Linked DNA regions of Macaca mulatta. The protein of the gene in region 1 purifies or fractionates together with the protein of each later gene. This does not show direct contact. Links are inferred from orthologs where the notes say so. Each region holds a gene or a part of one and is shown in the gene's direction. Other genes may lie near its edges.

The links. Proteins that work in one complex are often made in the same cells at the same time.
Region 2: the proteins of BIRC2 (region 1) and TANK purify together in Homo sapiens (affinity purification with mass spectrometry; 4 studies listed by BioGRID and IntAct, with this or other methods). This does not show direct contact. The link is inferred for Macaca mulatta from reciprocal best matches to the Homo sapiens genes BIRC2 and TANK.

What each region holds. Positions count from the first base shown.
Region 1 is NC_133419.1:103,215,279-103,224,007, forward strand, and holds the start of BIRC2 (baculoviral IAP repeat-containing protein 2), read left to right. Parts: upstream 1-3,347; 5' UTR 3,348-3,493; intron 3,494-3,510; exon of another isoform or gene 3,511-3,952; intron 3,953-4,719; 5' UTR 4,720-5,977; coding exon 5,978-6,872; intron 6,873-6,968; coding exon 6,969-7,068; intron 7,069-8,729. UniProt on the Homo sapiens protein: Multi-functional protein which regulates not only caspases and apoptosis, but also modulates inflammatory signaling and immunity, mitogenic kinase signaling, and cell proliferation, as well as cell invasion and metastasis.
Region 2 is NC_133417.1:66,041,870-66,049,161, forward strand, and holds the end of TANK (TRAF family member-associated NF-kappa-B activator), read left to right. Parts: coding exon 1-566; intron 567-4,343; coding exon 4,344-4,520; 3' UTR 4,521-5,158; downstream 5,159-7,292.

The sequences.
Region 1 (8,729 bases):
GAACTGAAATACTATTTATTATTCAACAGGTTGGCAACAATCCAAAAGTCTGACAACTTACTCCACTGATAAAGTTGTGGGAAATACAGGCACTCACATACATTGCTGGTTGGATTGCAAAATACCAGCATACCCATGGATGGGTATGTGGCCATATTAGGCAAATTTACATATGGATTTACCATTTGAACTAACTTCTGGGAATATATCCTAAAATAAGATGTGTTCCCATGACTATTCATTGCAGCACTATTTGTAATAGCAAAAGCCTGGAAACCACCCAGATGTCCATCCATAGGGAAGTAGCTGAATATATTATGGTACTAATTTTATCTATGACTGGGGAGCTTATTCAGGTTGGATCCTTAGTCTTTGACGTGGCCCTAGCAGTTTTTGGCTGCTTTCTGAATTATGTTGTTGAATATATTATGGCACATCTACACAACGGAGTACTATATAGAAACGAGGAATAGCTCTATATGTATTACATAATCTCTAGAATTTATTATGAAGTGAAAAAAGGTGGAGAAAAGTATGCTACTATTATTTATCTAAGAAAAGGGTAGGTATAAACATGCATAATTACATTTTTAAAATGAAAAAATGAATCATAAAAAGTGTTTAAGTCATTACTTATGGGGCAGGAAGGAAAAAGTAGAGGGGAGACCAAGGATTTTCAAAACAAAGGGAGTTACAGATGTGCAATCAAAGAGGTTAAATAAAACCTTGACTTCCTGAATTTGAATCGGAAGTATCAATGAGTTTGTGATATATTTGATTTAAAAAACAAAAACCAAACCAAAACAAACCCATACTAACCAGCTTTGTCCATTGAACAGGTATAGAAACAATCAAACTCATTAACAATGAACACGACAAACATTTTTTGTTTGTTGTTCCTTGCAGCGCTAACTCACAGGAGACAAACATTCAGATTATGCTCTTTAAATACCATTTCCCACTAAAGGATCCAGGACACTTAGGAGTAATGGCTTATTATGGGTATGGAGTAAGAAATACACAAAATGAGCCTGGAAAGCAAAGACTACTAGGAAAGTATCAAAAAGACTCAGGAGCCAACCTGAGTAAACTCTCACCGGCCTAAAATAAAACAACTTGAGCACTAATAGTGATAATAGCTGCGATGGATTACAACTCACCAAACTTCTTTAAATCCCTGGATTCATAATGATGGCTGTTTACTTTTGAGGGTTTTTTTAAAAAATCAAGCAGAGATTTTTAAATAGTATATGGTAGTGATCTAATTTTATTTTCCATTAGAATAACCATTCATTCAGCATTACTTATTGACTAATTAATCCTTTTCTTATTAATACATAATGCCAGTATATCAAATTCCCAAATACATTGATATGGGTCTCTTTTTGGGGCTCTGTATCTCCTTCTTTTGTTTAATTGTACATCCTAGTGCATTTAATAATACACGACTGTCTCAATTACTATGGCTTTATTGTAACTCATTACCTGGTAGGACAAGACTTTCCAATCTTAACTTTTCTTCTTCAAAATTGTTTTAAATACTGTAAATATTTTTTCTACATATATATGAAAAACGTTAGAATGGCAACTGTAGCAGACATACTAGCTTATTTTTTAAGATTAACAGCAACTTTATACTAGTAAAACGAAAAAAATTAACTGAATAACCAGGTAACTGAATTAACTAACTGTAACACTAGACTACAAAGTTATACAAGAATAAAAGTTATGAAGTACTATTTATTATACCTAAATATTACATATATTTTTTGTTAAAAATATCTAAGGCTTTTGAATTTTTGAAATGCAAGCTTTCCCCTATACTTAAGTATATTCATTATCTTACTGTTTTGGTCAGGACAAGAACTGAAAAAGAGAAATACTTGAGTTCAGAATGAACAATTCTTGCTATATATATTTTCCCACATGTTAGGAATGTTCTGTAACTTTCCGAGAAATAGTGACTTGAACTAAATACTAAACTACTACCAAGCCCCACGTGCATTTTTGGAAGTTTTTAGTCATTGGGAGCCATGGCATTTCTTTTCTCTGTATTACAAACTGTTACACTCACTTTCTTTGACTATTAACATTGGAACAGTAGACCTCCTGTTCTGTGACTGACTGGCAGGCAGAAATGACACGGACAGGAAATGGGAAATGGTTCAGGGTCTTGGAATTCCCCCGGCTGCCTAATTAAGTGGTTCGCTATTTGGAAGTTTTTAAAATATTTGCCCCTTGGAGTTCCCCAGAGAGAAGCAAGCATTGGATTCAATGGGCAAAGAGCGTCAACTTCAAAAGTCATTCGTTGGCTGTCATAGCACAAACATTTACTGCATGCCACTGTGTCTATGGCACTACTGGGGGAGTATGGCGGAGGGATACAAAAGGTCCATCACTAGTAAAAGCCAAGGGTGTTTGTTTACAAATTTTCTATTACCTAAGCATTAAAAAAAAAAACAACCTTGGGCTTCTCTGTGGTTTATGTACAATTATATGTGCATGTACACCAATACACAGGCGGACGTATATATTTCATTTTATTGAAACATTCAGAAAATACTGGGAGTGAAGCCTGACTTGCAATACCGTTCCCGTTGCTGGCAATGAGCATCTGAAATAATGACACTTTTGTCTTTAGTGCATATGCACTGTTTGTCTCCAGAACAGAAAACCAAAAGTTTAAAAACAAGATAACCTAGTTGATTGTAAAACTCATCGAGTCAAAATTATTCATCAGATGCTTCCTACTTTCCAACGCTTCGCTTTTTTCGATTTGCACAAACAGCTGTTGAACGCTGATGCTACACAAACGGTTACAACTGTTTACTTGAGCAAAAAATGCCATCAGACTGACTCCATCCTCAAAATGCAGTCATCTCGACGGGGGAGGCATCACACTAGGGGAGCCTTGCCAGGGGCCAGATCATAACCCTGAGGTGACACAGGGTAGACGCGCAAAACCACCGGCGCCAGGGCGTTTCCGCAGGGTTTCCCAAGAGTCAAACGCAGCGGCTCACGGTTTGCCACGTCCCCCAGGAGAATGGTAGGCACAGAGAGAGAGGAAACGTGGAGGGGGCACAAACTGCAAGGTGAAGAAAACGAACAAACACCGAGTTGATACGGATAGTCCCCGTTCCCCTAAGGGCCGACCCCGCGACTCCCGATGGGCGTCCAGTTGCGCCGGGGGTCCCTGAGCCTCCCAGCGTCTTTCCCGGCGGTTAGTCGCCCCACGGCCGCAAGTGCGCTCGGTTTCGCTTTCCGGCCCCAGCCTCCCGGGCGCCCTCGCGCGGCTGCCAACGCGAGTCTCCGGCCGGGCGCGCTGACGTCATCGTGCGTCGGCGTGAGCCCGGATGGGGCGGCGGGCTTCGGGAGCGCCGGAGCTGACCCGAGCCGAGGCGGCCGTGTCTCCTTGTCGGTACCGCCGCTTCCCGGCTCTGGGGAGGCCTCTAGGCTGCCGCGCAGCTTCCTTGTTTGCTGCGCCCGCACTGCGGTGAGTGCTGCTCCTTCCGGACTCGGGCGGCGCGGGGAGGGTGGGGACGCGCGGGCCCGCGGGGGCCCACTTCCCTGATGTGGCGGCCGGGCGAGGAAGGAAGGGGCCAGAGGCCCTTCGGCCAAGGGTCGAGGGTCGCCGGGGGCTCTCTGCTTTCTACTCTCGCCAAGGTTTTATTGGATTCGGAAGCCCAAACTTCAAGACTTGCAGTCAAAGCCGTTTTTAAAATATGACTTGTTTTCAAACCTCCTCTGGCCGCCGCCCACTCTTCTGGCCCTTGGACTTTGACCAAGATGTTTTCTCGCAGTTTTTGCAAGGTTTTAAACAGCCCTCGGCGTTCTTTTAATGTAATACATTGAAACGAAGATATTTCGGTGGCGGTGATATTTCATATTTCATAGTTGCCACTGCGCTCTGTCATTCCAGTAGTCTGTTGTGTATTGTGAGAAACAACTCTGGGTAATTATTGGGTAAATCCCATAGTTTCTATTCTTTTCTCTTCCATCCTATCCCCTGTCCAGCTGCAGTTTGCATAAAGAGAATGCTGCAGTACGGTGCTCGCAGATAAAAGTCTTTCGTTTAAAGATAGTATATAAAAAATCGCGTGTAATTAAAGCAATCATGCCAGTGGGCGTCAGGCCACTGTTTCACAGGCCGCTGTGTTAGGTTTTGTTTTCGGTTGTTTTCTACCGTCGTTGCTTTGAAATTGTAAGGGATTGGCAGAGTTTAAGGGTTTATATTAATGAACTCGTGGTACATTTTACTGCAGTTTTCCTAGTCGCGGAGAGACTTGATATTACAAACTAACGTTGCTGTCTGATTACTGCTGTACTGCTGTTGACAGGGTTTAGTGGAGTACCTTGTCGCTCTCTCTGCCTTTTTCACCAATGTTCCTTTGCCTCCAGCAGAGTGCCAAAGATACCTTTAGGTCAGAAAAGGGGAGGAGAGCAAGGACAAAATGTTTTCCTGTGTGAAAATTTCCATCTGTCTCTAAAGTTGTGCTTTTTAAAGACACGTATAGTTAGTGCTATGGGAGTATGTTGCATTTATTTATTTTAATTAAGAGCTTTTTCAGTTAGAAAGTTGTGACAAATTGCTGGAAATTAAGATGTGTTATCTAAAATGTAAATTATTCTTAGACTTTAGTGAATAAATTGAAGAGTATGTAAGTTCTATTTGGCATGCAAATACGGTTTTCTAAAATACCTTTTGTTTTTTCTTTTCAGATTTACAGCCCTGAAGAATCCTCCTCTCCCTTTCCCCTTGCAGTAATAAATCCCATTTTGGAGATCTCGAAGCTTTATAAAGGGATATAGTTTGAATTCTATGGAGTGTAATTTTGTGTATGAATTATATTTTTAAAACATTGAAGAGTTTTCAGAAAGAAGGCTAGTAGAGTTGATTACTGATACGTTATGCTAAGCAGTACTTTTTTGGTAATACAGTATTTTGTTAGGCGTTTCTGATAACACTAGAAAGGACAAGTTGTGTCTTGTGACAAATTGATTAATGTTTACAGCATGACTGATAATTATAGCTGAATAGTCCTTAAATGATGAACAGGTTATTTAGTTTTTAAATGCAGTGTGAAAAGTGTGCTGTGGAAATTTTATGGCTAACTAATTAAGTTTATGGAGAAAATACCTTCAGTTGATCAAGAATAATAAAGTGGTATACAAAGTTAGGAAGAAAGTCAACATGCTGCAGGAAATAGAAACAAATACAAATGATATTTAACAAAGATAGAAGAGTTTATAGTTTGTGAACTTTAAGCCAAATTCATTTGACATCAAACACTATAACAGGCACAGGTTCAACAAAGCTTGTGGGTGTTGACTTCCCCAAAAGTTGTCAGCTGAAGTAATATAGCCCGCTTATGTAAATACTATGGTGATAAGCTGTGTGAACTTAGCCTTTAAATAGTGTGACCATATGAAGATTTTAATTACTTTTGTTTATTGGAATAAAATGAGATTTTTTGGGGACATTATATTAAAGTGCTTATAGGGAAAGAAGCCTGCATGTAATTTTTTACCTTGTGGCATAATCAGTAATTGATCTGTTACCCAGGCTTCATAGCTTGTAACCAAATATAAATAAAAGGAGTAATTTAGGTATTCTGTAGTTGCTTAGAATTTTGAGAATATAAATCTCTGTGAAAAATCAAGGAGTTTCAACATTTTCAAAAGGGCATCCACCTCTCAGGGCTTTAGGTTAGTATTACTCAAGATTATGAACAAATAGCACTTAGATTACTTAAAAGAGTTACTACAACCCCAAAGACTTGTGTTCCAAGTAGTATCTTGGTAATTCAGAGAGAGACTCATCCTACCTGAATATAAACTGAGATAAATCCAGTAAAGAAAGTGTAGTGAATTCTACGTAAGAGTCTATCATTGATTTCTTTTTGTGGTAAAAATCTTATTTTGTGTGAAGAAATTTCATGTGACTGTTTTAGCTATCAAACAGTACTGTCACCTACTCATGCACAAAACTGCCTCCCAAAGACTTTTCCCAGGTCCCTCGTATCAAAACATTAAGAGTATAATGGAAGATAGCACGATCTTGTCAGATTGGACAAACAGCAACAAACAAAAAATGAAGTATGACTTTTCCTGTGAACTCTACAGAATGTCTACATATTCAACTTTCCCCACCGGCGTTCCTGTCTCAGAAAGGAGTCTTGCTCGTGCTGGTTTTTATTATACTGGTGTGAATGACAAGGTCAAATGCTTCTGTTGTGGCCTGATGCTGGATAACTGGAAACTAGGAGACAGTCCTATTGAAAAGCATAAACAACTATATCCTAGCTGTAGCTTTATTCAGAATCTGGTTTCAGCTACTCTGGGATCCACCTCTAAGAATACTTCTCCAATGAGAAACAGTTTTGCACATTCATTATCTCCCACCTTGGAACATAGTAGCTTGTTCAGTGGTTCTTACTCTAGCCTTTCACCAAACCCTCTTAATTCTAGAGCAGTTGAAGACTTGTCTCCATCGAGGACTAACCCCTACAGTTATGCAATGAGTACTGAAGAAGCCCGATTTCTTACCTACCATATGTGGCCATTAACTTTTTTGTCACCATCAGAATTGGCAAGAGCTGGTTTTTATTATATAGGACCTGGAGATAGGGTAGCCTGCTTTGCCTGTGGTGGGAAGCTCAGTAACTGGGAACCAAAGGATGATGCTATGTCAGAACACCGGAGGCATTTTCCCAACTGTCCATTTTTGGAAAATTCTCTAGAAACGCTGAGGTTTAGCATTTCAAATCTGAGCATGCAGACACATGCAGCTCGAATGAGAACGTTTATGTACTGGCCATCCAGTGTTCCAGTTCAGCCTGAGCAGCTTGCAAGTGCTGGTTTTTATTATGTGGGTAAGAAGCAAATAACTACATTTTATCATTTTATTTTGATTTACATATTAGAACATAATGTGTTTTCAATATTTAGTCTTTTTTTTTTTCTTGAAGGTCGCAATGATGATGTCAAATGCTTTTGTTGTGATGGCGGCTTGAGGTGTTGGGAATCTGGAGATGATCCATGGGTAGAACATGCCAAGTGGTTTCCAAGGTAATTGTTTTGAAAAAGGTATTTGTACAAAAAACTCTGCTTAAAAGAAGTAGGCATGCTTACATGATTTAGTTTACCGTTAAATTATAACAAAGCCTCTTTTGTGCCGCTGGGGAATTATCCTTCTAAAAGATCACATTTTAACTTTAATTGTTTTGTTGAAAAATATTATGCAGTCTTCTGTGTACTTTTGTAAGTCAGTTACAAGTATAGCCATACATTTTATTTATTGCCCGTCTTCTTTTAAACAGTACTTAAGGATTACAAAGACATATAAAATAGATTAAAAAGAAGTTAGAAAAAGGTAAGAACAGGAAAACAAGAAGGGACATAGAATGGATGCAGGAATAAGGCAAATGTAAAAATGCATATATTAAGAGCATATCTTGGCTGGGTGCAGTGGCTCACACCTGTAATCCCAGCACTTTGGGAGGCCAAGACAGGTGGACCACCTGAGGTCAGGAGTTCAAGACCAGCCTGACCAACATGGTGAAACCCTGTATCTACTAAAAATACAAAAACTGACTGGGCATGGTGGCACACGGCTGTAGTCCCAGCTTCTCGGGAGGCTGAGGCAGGAGAATCGGTTGAGCCCAGGAGGTGGAGGCTGCAGTGAGCCAGGATCATGCCACTGCACTCCAGCCTGGGTAACAGCGAGACTCCATCATCTGACTGCCCATTTTAATTGTAATTGTAAGTTTTTTTTTCTGTACAATTTTCTTTTTTTATAATCTGTCATTTACCTCTTTTTAGCCACTTTATCTCTAGCAGTGTCTTTTTATTGTAGCCTAGAAAGAATTTAGGGGCAGTGTTATTAGTAGAAATAAAATTAGAGATTAATTGTGTTTGTAATTGAGTAGCTGTGTGAACTGAGACATCATTTGTAAAATGAGGAGGGGTTGGCCTGGATAATTTTTTTTAAATAGTGATAAAATAGGCATAACATAACATTTACAATCTTAACCATTTTTAAGTGTAGAGTTCTGTGTCATTAAGTACATTCATACTGTTCTGCGATCACACCGCTATCCATCTCCAGAATCTTTGCATCTTCCCAAACTGAAACTGTCTACCCATCAAGTACTAATTCCCCATTCCCCTTTCCCCAGCATCCTGGCAACCACCATTCTACTTCTTTTTTTGTTTGTTTTTTTGTGGTGGAGTCTTGCTCTGTCATCCAGGCTGGAGTGCAGTGACATGATCTTGGCTCACTGCAACCTCCACCTCCCAGGTTCAAGCGATTCTCCTGCGTCAGGCTCCTGAGTAGCTGGGATTACAGGTGCCCGCCACCACACCTGGCTAATTTTTTTGTATTTTTAGTAGAGACGGTTTTTAGTAGAGACCCAGTTTCACCATGTTGGCCAGGCCGATCTTGAACTGCTGACCTCAAGCGATCTGCTCACCTCTGCCTCGAAAAGTGCTGGGATTACAGGTGCCCGCCACCACACCTGGCTAATTTTTTTGTATTTTTAGTAGAGACGGTTTTTAGTAGAGACCCAGTTTCACCATGTTGGCCAGGCCGATCTTGAACTCCTGACCTCAAGCGATCTGCTCACCTCTGCCTCGGAAAGTGCTGGGATTACAGGTGTGAGCCACCGCTCCCTGCTCCACCATTCTGTTTCTGTCTCTATGAATTCGACTACTCTAGGCACCACATATAA
Region 2 (7,292 bases), on another chromosome or scaffold:
TGCCTATACAGTGTACGGATAAAACAGATAAACAAGAGGCGCTGTTTAAGCCTCAGGCTAAAGATGATATAAATAGAGGTGCACCATCCATCACATGTGTCACACCAAGAGGACTGTGCAGAGATGAGGAAGACACCTCTTTTGAATCACTTTCTAAATTCAATGTCAAGTTTCCACCTATGGACAATGACTCGACTTTCTTACATAGCACTCCAGAGAGACCCGGCATCCTTAGTCCTGCCACGTCTGAGGCAATGTGCCAAGAGAAATTTAATACGGAGTTCAGAGACAACCCAGGGAACTTTGTTAAAACAGAAGAAACTTTATTTGAAATTCAGGGAATTGACCCCATAGCTTCAGCTATACAAAACCTTAAAACAACTGACAAAACAAAGCCCTCAAATCTTGTAAACACTTGTATCAGGACAACTCTGGATAGAGCTGCGTGTTTGCCACCTGGAGACCATAATGCATTATATGTAAATACCTTCCCACTTCTGGACCCATCTGATGCACCTTTTCCCTCACTTGATTCCCCAGGAAAAGCTATCCGAGGACCACAGCAGGTAACTGTTTTGCGTTAACAAATATATTATTATGTGTGAACACACATTTTGCCATACATGGACAGATATGCATCTCTTTTACGTTATCTGACATCCTTTTTAAACTACTGTCTAGCCAAAGTTAGGGGTTTCAGAAAAACAAGTCCTATAATAAATGACATGAAATTAGAAAAGCTGAATATGGTAAAACTATTGTAAAGTATCTTAGAATTTATGTCATTTAAAAATTCATGTTAAGCCTTATCCGTATCTATTGTGGTGTCACTTTCTTAGTTCCTTATTCAAAGCTTGTTTACTCAGGATTAATAAGATTATTAAATTTCATAGTGTGAAACAAATGCTGTTTTATTTAATAGTTTCTGTATATCATATTCATCTTTATAAGAATTCACGATCTTATGTAAATAATTGCATCTTACATTCCTATTTATCAACATAAGTGAACTATCTTTCAATGAATACTTCTACTATATCCTCAGTTATATAGTACGTAGATCTGTAGGGTTTAGTTTTGGTTTTGGTTGCTAATCTGGAAATGAACATGTAGCCTAGTATATTTTTAAAATAGTCTCTGCATGTGTATGATATCAGATATTTTATTCAATGTTTCTAAATCTCACAGACTTATGTCCCCCAAACCACTCCTGCCCTCCCTTTTAGATTCAAGTTCCATCACAGAATGATTCTTTTAGTTAAAAAAAAAGTTTAATGTCTGAAAGCAAATGAAAACTATAAAATTTTTACAAAAAACAGAAGCTTATGAAAATAGATTGATGTAAATGTCTATGTAACTTGCAAACATTTGTCTGATTTCTCTTTGCCTTGAGATTTTTTTTTTTTTAAAGTTGTTAATACCCTTTTGCTTTAAGTACACTTATAGGTTATAGACTTAAATCAGCATGCAAAGAAGGCAGTTGTCAAGCTGTGGTATATTTTAGTAGTGGGAAAAACTAGGCATGGCTGACAATAAGTTTTAATTATAACCTCACTTAGGTTCTTGTTCATTATACTTTATTTCACATCATAGTCTCTGTTATAGTTGCTACTAAATGAAACAAATTAAACAATTTCATTTATTGCAAGTAGAATTCCTGTGGAGCTGTGAAGTGCATCAGTTCTAATGCTTGTTACTTTTTTCTCTATTATATGTCTTGCTTGTTCTTTTACTAGTCTGTGCATTCATGTTTCAGTAGATGGCACCCTGCATTGTACATTTGCTTTCTATACTACAGCAAGGGAAACAGCTGGTATGTGATTACAACTTGATGGAAAAGTATTCAGCTTAAAAAATTCAGGAGAATTAGTGTTGAGTTGTCACAAGACATGGGGCATAAGGTTAGATAATTGATATTTTAGCAGAAAAAGCAAAGAAATTAGTTTGTTTTGAAGACCATGTTACAGTTTAGGATGGAAAGAATATTTCTTAAAGTGAGTTTTTTAAAAAACATTTTAAGCTATTTTATTTGTATTAATAAAGCTAGTATTATACAAGCTAGTATAAGTACAAAATTCCTGAGTTGGGCCAGGTACGGTGGTTCATGCCTATAATCCCAGCACTTTGGGAGGCTGAGGCAGGAGGATTGACTGAGCCTAGGAATTTGAGACCAGCCTGGGCAACACAGTGAGAACTTGTCTCTACAAATACATATAGATATATAGATATTTGTAGCTGGTTGTGGTGGCATGCGCCTATTGTCTCCAGCTACTTGGGAAGCTGAGGTGGGAGGATTGCTTGAGCTAGGTAGTTCGAGGTTGCAGTGAGCTGTGATGGTGCCACCACACTTCAGCCTGGGTGACAGAGCAAGACCCTGTCTCAAAATAATAATAATAATAATAATAATAATAATTTTTTTAATCCTGAGTTGTTTGTAGATAGTAACAAAGAGAAGTGAAATTTTTGGCTGCATATTTAAAAATTTTACTTTATATCAATCATTACTACTAAACATCTATTTTATATATTCAGCTATCATAACCAAGACTAAAGTGTATCAGATTATTATTGTTCTATGTGATTTTCTTTTTTACTTTGCTGAGTCAGTGAGTGGGATCCCAACTAAATTCTATGAAGAGATCAAATCTGAACTAAAAGTTCTTAATAGAGAAAAATGAATATGGACTTAATAGGTAAATTGGGAGCAGAAGATTGGCTTACCAAATTTAGAAGCTAAATTGCTTCTGATTTAATTTCTTGCTATTTTATATAAATAAGGACTATCTTTAATAATCTTTTATTTCTGGCCATATCAATTTCCCATTACAGTGATTTGTACTTTTTTGTTTAAAACTGAAAACATTAAAATTAGACTCAAGTTAACTCTAACTAGATTTTTGCTTGTATGCTCACAGTTTTTACTACTTTTACCAAAGAAGTTTTTCCAAAGAAAGTTATTTTACCTTAAATTTTATAACATTTGTTTTAAATATTACTATTTTTGTAATAAAATTGACATTTCTTATGAAAGGAATTGAGTCAGCATTATTATAAGTCCTCCATACTGATATTTGAATGTATCTGGGTGCCTAGACAGACGTTGTATATTTATACCAATTGTACACAGCTGTCCAGTAAACTGTTTATAAGAAGACAGTGATGTCGTGAAACCCAAATGCTTCAATCGGTAATATACTGTTTATGTAAATGATTGGTTAGCCAGAATGAAAGAAGTTAGGGGAAATAACAGTAACACTTGTCAGGTGCTAGACTAGGCTGTGTGACTTTAAAAACATATTAGTAATAGGAGGATAAGGGGTCTTTTTAAATTTGACTTTATGAGGTGATTAAAATACCAGAATTTAGCTGTGTCAGAGTAATTTACCTGTGTCCACATAAGAAAGAAATTTTAAAAAATAATTTGTTTTACACAATTCAGGGAAATATTTTCCAGTTAACAAACATCTATTGTGTAGCTATTATTAAGCCAAATGCTATTTCTTGTCCTTCTAGAAGTTTTAAAAAAAAAAAAGAATAATGCAGTTATGAAAGGGTATTTATGTGCTGGTTATAGTGGAGGTGGTTCTATTAGATTATGACTTGCCATAATTCTTTAACCAGGCAACTATTGACAAGTTTCACTTTATTCAGCCACAAGAATGAGTAAGGGCAAACTACCTATTATATAACAGAAGCAAAGTAAGAAGTCAAAACACTGCATGTGTTAGATTTTGTTGAATGATTAAGTATTTGCATTTTTAAAAACAAATAAAAGATAACTGATCAGTGAAATTTGTTCAGTAGTTTAAAAGGAAAATTTTCTTTTTAAAAATCAAAATAATGCTGATTCATGTATGATGTATTCACTGTATCTGCTTATAAACAATAGTGAAATTGATTTTGAGTAAGACGCAATGCACACACACATCATGTCTTGTGTACTGTGTAATTAATAAAGCCCCTATAAGTTAAGGTTTTTATTGTAAAAAATAAAAGACAGAATTTAATTTAAAAGACCAGAGTATTAACTATTGTTCCAAAACTACTCACGTTGTGATCATTGGGTATTAAAAATTGCATGCTAAAGCTGCAATCTTTTTAAATATGATAAAATGCATAAGTGTGTGTCCCAAGTGGCTTTTAATCAAAGTTTAGTTGTCCCTTTTATGAAACCAAGAATTGAGTCATGTCCTCATGCTAACTTCATGGAAAAGTAATTTGCTTTTATATTAGGGAATTAAATATATATGCTCATACATAACTCATTCAAAAATTCAAATTTGAAGTCCAGTGCTATTTGAATTTAAACATAAGTAACAGATATTTTTGTTTGTTTCCTGCAGCCCATTTGGAAGCCCTTTCCTAATCAAAACAGTGACTCGGTGGTACTAAGTGGCACAGACTCAGAACTGCATATACCTCGAGTATGTGAATTCTGTCAAGCAGTTTTCCCACCATCCATTACATCCAGAGGGGATTTCCTTCGGCATCTTAATTCACACTTCAATGGAGAGACTTAAGACACATTTGAAAACAGACATACCAAGTTCTATGTGATGATTTGGGGTTTGTAATACTATAAATACTTGATTGTAAACTAAATTCAAGATCATTTATAGGAAAATCTAGTTTCACAGCTATTTGAATTGTTTTCTAGATTTACTGTATAACTCTTTCATTTTTTTAAAAGATCATTCTATTCTTTCAAGGAGAAATAAGCCTAAAAGAAGAAAAACAAAAAAAAACTGCATAAAACTGCAATCCTTTGTATTCATGTTTACAGTGCTATTACTATAATTCAAAATTACATATGTGACTTAGTTATATAATCATAATTTATGTTTATTTCAAATATCTAAGTTTATTGCTTGGATTTCTAGTGAGAGCTGTTGAATTTGGTGATGTCAAATGTTTCTAGGGTTTTCTTTGTTTTTATTGAAAAATTTATTTATGCTATAGGTGATATTCTTTAAATAAACCTATAATAGAAAATAGCAGACAACATAAACATCTTTGTAAATATCAAACCTAATACATTTCTTGTCCAGTGATAAAACAACTGGTAGAATTATTTAAACACTTAAGATTTTTAAAATAATATACATGGCTTTAATTTTACTATGTGTATAGCTACATGATGAAATTAAATATTAAGAGGTACTTATGTTGTGATCAGTAGTGTGTCCTTTGTTCTTGATATAAAAAAAAAAAGGAAGGAATCACATTTTTAGGGAAGTTTATAAAATTCTTGTTTTCTTTTCAGTAACCTAGTAGAAAGGTGATGACCAGATTTGGTGGCATTTATTGACAATTAGTGAATCACTTTGAATTTTAGAATTATTTTTCAAACTCAACTTTCTAAAGAAACATTTGTTTTTAATGGGAGCAAATATAAAACCCTACAAGGACTATCCATATTTGTTAACTTAGATTAGAAATGTTCATATTCTTGTTGAGAAATTTGTTATTCATTGTTAGCAGCCTGATTGATAGCCACTGAAAGACATTTGAGAGAGTGGATACCAAATTCAGAAGGCTGCAAAATTTGTTTAAAATGAGACTTCCCTTTCATTTTTATTCCCTATGATTCTCGCCTTTTAGGTGTCTCTTTTCCCCTGATTCTTAAAAGTGTTTAAGGCATGGCTTCCATTTTATGAAGTAAGCATTGATTTGCAACCCTCAAAAATTTAAGCCTTCTTGAAGCAAGTGCTTTAAACTGGAGGGTGTGGGGTGGGGGAATTTGAGCAGACCTCTGTGCCCCAGTGAAGAACCTTAACTTGTGGAAGAATGAGAGTGGTGCCTCGACTTCTCCCAGTGCCAAGCACATCATATTGACATCTTCCTCACCAAGGTGACAGCAATTATTAGGTATTCACTGCGAAGGGTTCTGAGGCATGTACATCTTTCTTTCATTGCCACTAGGGCTGAATGGAAATGCCTAGACAATTATCCAAGTTTCTTCCCTTCCCCCACCTCCCGCCCACCCAGCCTCCCCTCTCCACACACGCACGCACACACACACGCACACGCACACAAAATTAAAAATAAAAACTTCCCAGCGTGTACCAGCCAGAAGATACCACTGTACCTATCTCGTGAAAGGGGATCCTTTTTTTCCCCTGTCCTTTTCTAGATGGGAAGACTTCCTCTCAACACAGTTGACATCTACTAAGTGCTTGCTGACAACCACAGGAAAGTCTATGGCCCAGAAAGTGACTCAGAGTGTACTACTGACCTTCCTCCCCAGCCCATCCTTTCCCCGCCCCCACCACTTTTAGCAGGACTAGCAAACTCGGTTTTCTTTTGCGTTCCAGCGGCACCCTAAGCTCCACGTTGTGAGGGACAGAGACCCTTTGGGGCCACAGGAGAGGCGGCCTGGAGAGCAGCCCCCGCCCTGCTCTACATAGGAAGCGCGGGCCACCGCTCTAAAGGTGGAGTGGGCACCCGCCAGGTCTCTCCCTCTGTCTCTTGACTGAGTCGTGCAGGGGCTGCTGGCTTTTGGCATCTGCTAAGCGTGGCCGGGTAAGAACAGCTCCCAGGTAAAAAAGCTGCACACGCGAAACGCCGAGTCTGAAAAAACCACCCCCGCCGAGGCGAGGCAGTTGTGAGCGGGATGCCTGAGAAGTGGGAGGTGAATGTCCTCGGGAGGGCCCCCCCGGTGCAGCTTTCCCCGGAGGCTGAGGCTGCTGCCAGCGGGGACATCTGCTTTCTTACACTCCAGCCTGGCTCACCCCGCCCCCTCAGCCCCGGGTTGCGTGGTTATTTTACCAACACGGAGGGAGGGAGAGCTCGAGGAGGTAGAAAAGGGGTGGATGGAAGCTTATAAGATTTTCTTCCCACTCTTCGTCCCCTCCTTTCTTCACATCTTTTAACCTTCAAGGTAAAGAGTTTAGGAAACAATAAGCGTGTCCGCCGGCTCGCCGACCCGCCTTTGGCTCGCCGGGGCTCTCCGGCGCGGGGCCTTGCCCCTCTCCATCCTCCCTACGTCGGGCCGCGTTTCGGCGGTTCGGCTGGGCGCAGGGGCCAGCCGGGTGCGCCCAGCCTGTGGCGCCTCCTCTCCCCGGCTGCTGCCTCGACAGCTGCTTGTAGCTACAGTAATTAGACTGTCAGTGCTTGTTAGAGGAGAGAGGGGAAAACACGCTTCTGACAGCAGATTCCAAGACTCCCCAGTTTGTTAATTTCTAAGAGATCTTTAAAGCATTAATTGAGGTCTCCCCAACTCTCCCCTCCCGTCCCTCTCCGCAACTCCTCCCTTCCCAAAAATATCTTTAGGAGAAGCGAGTTCTCTCGGC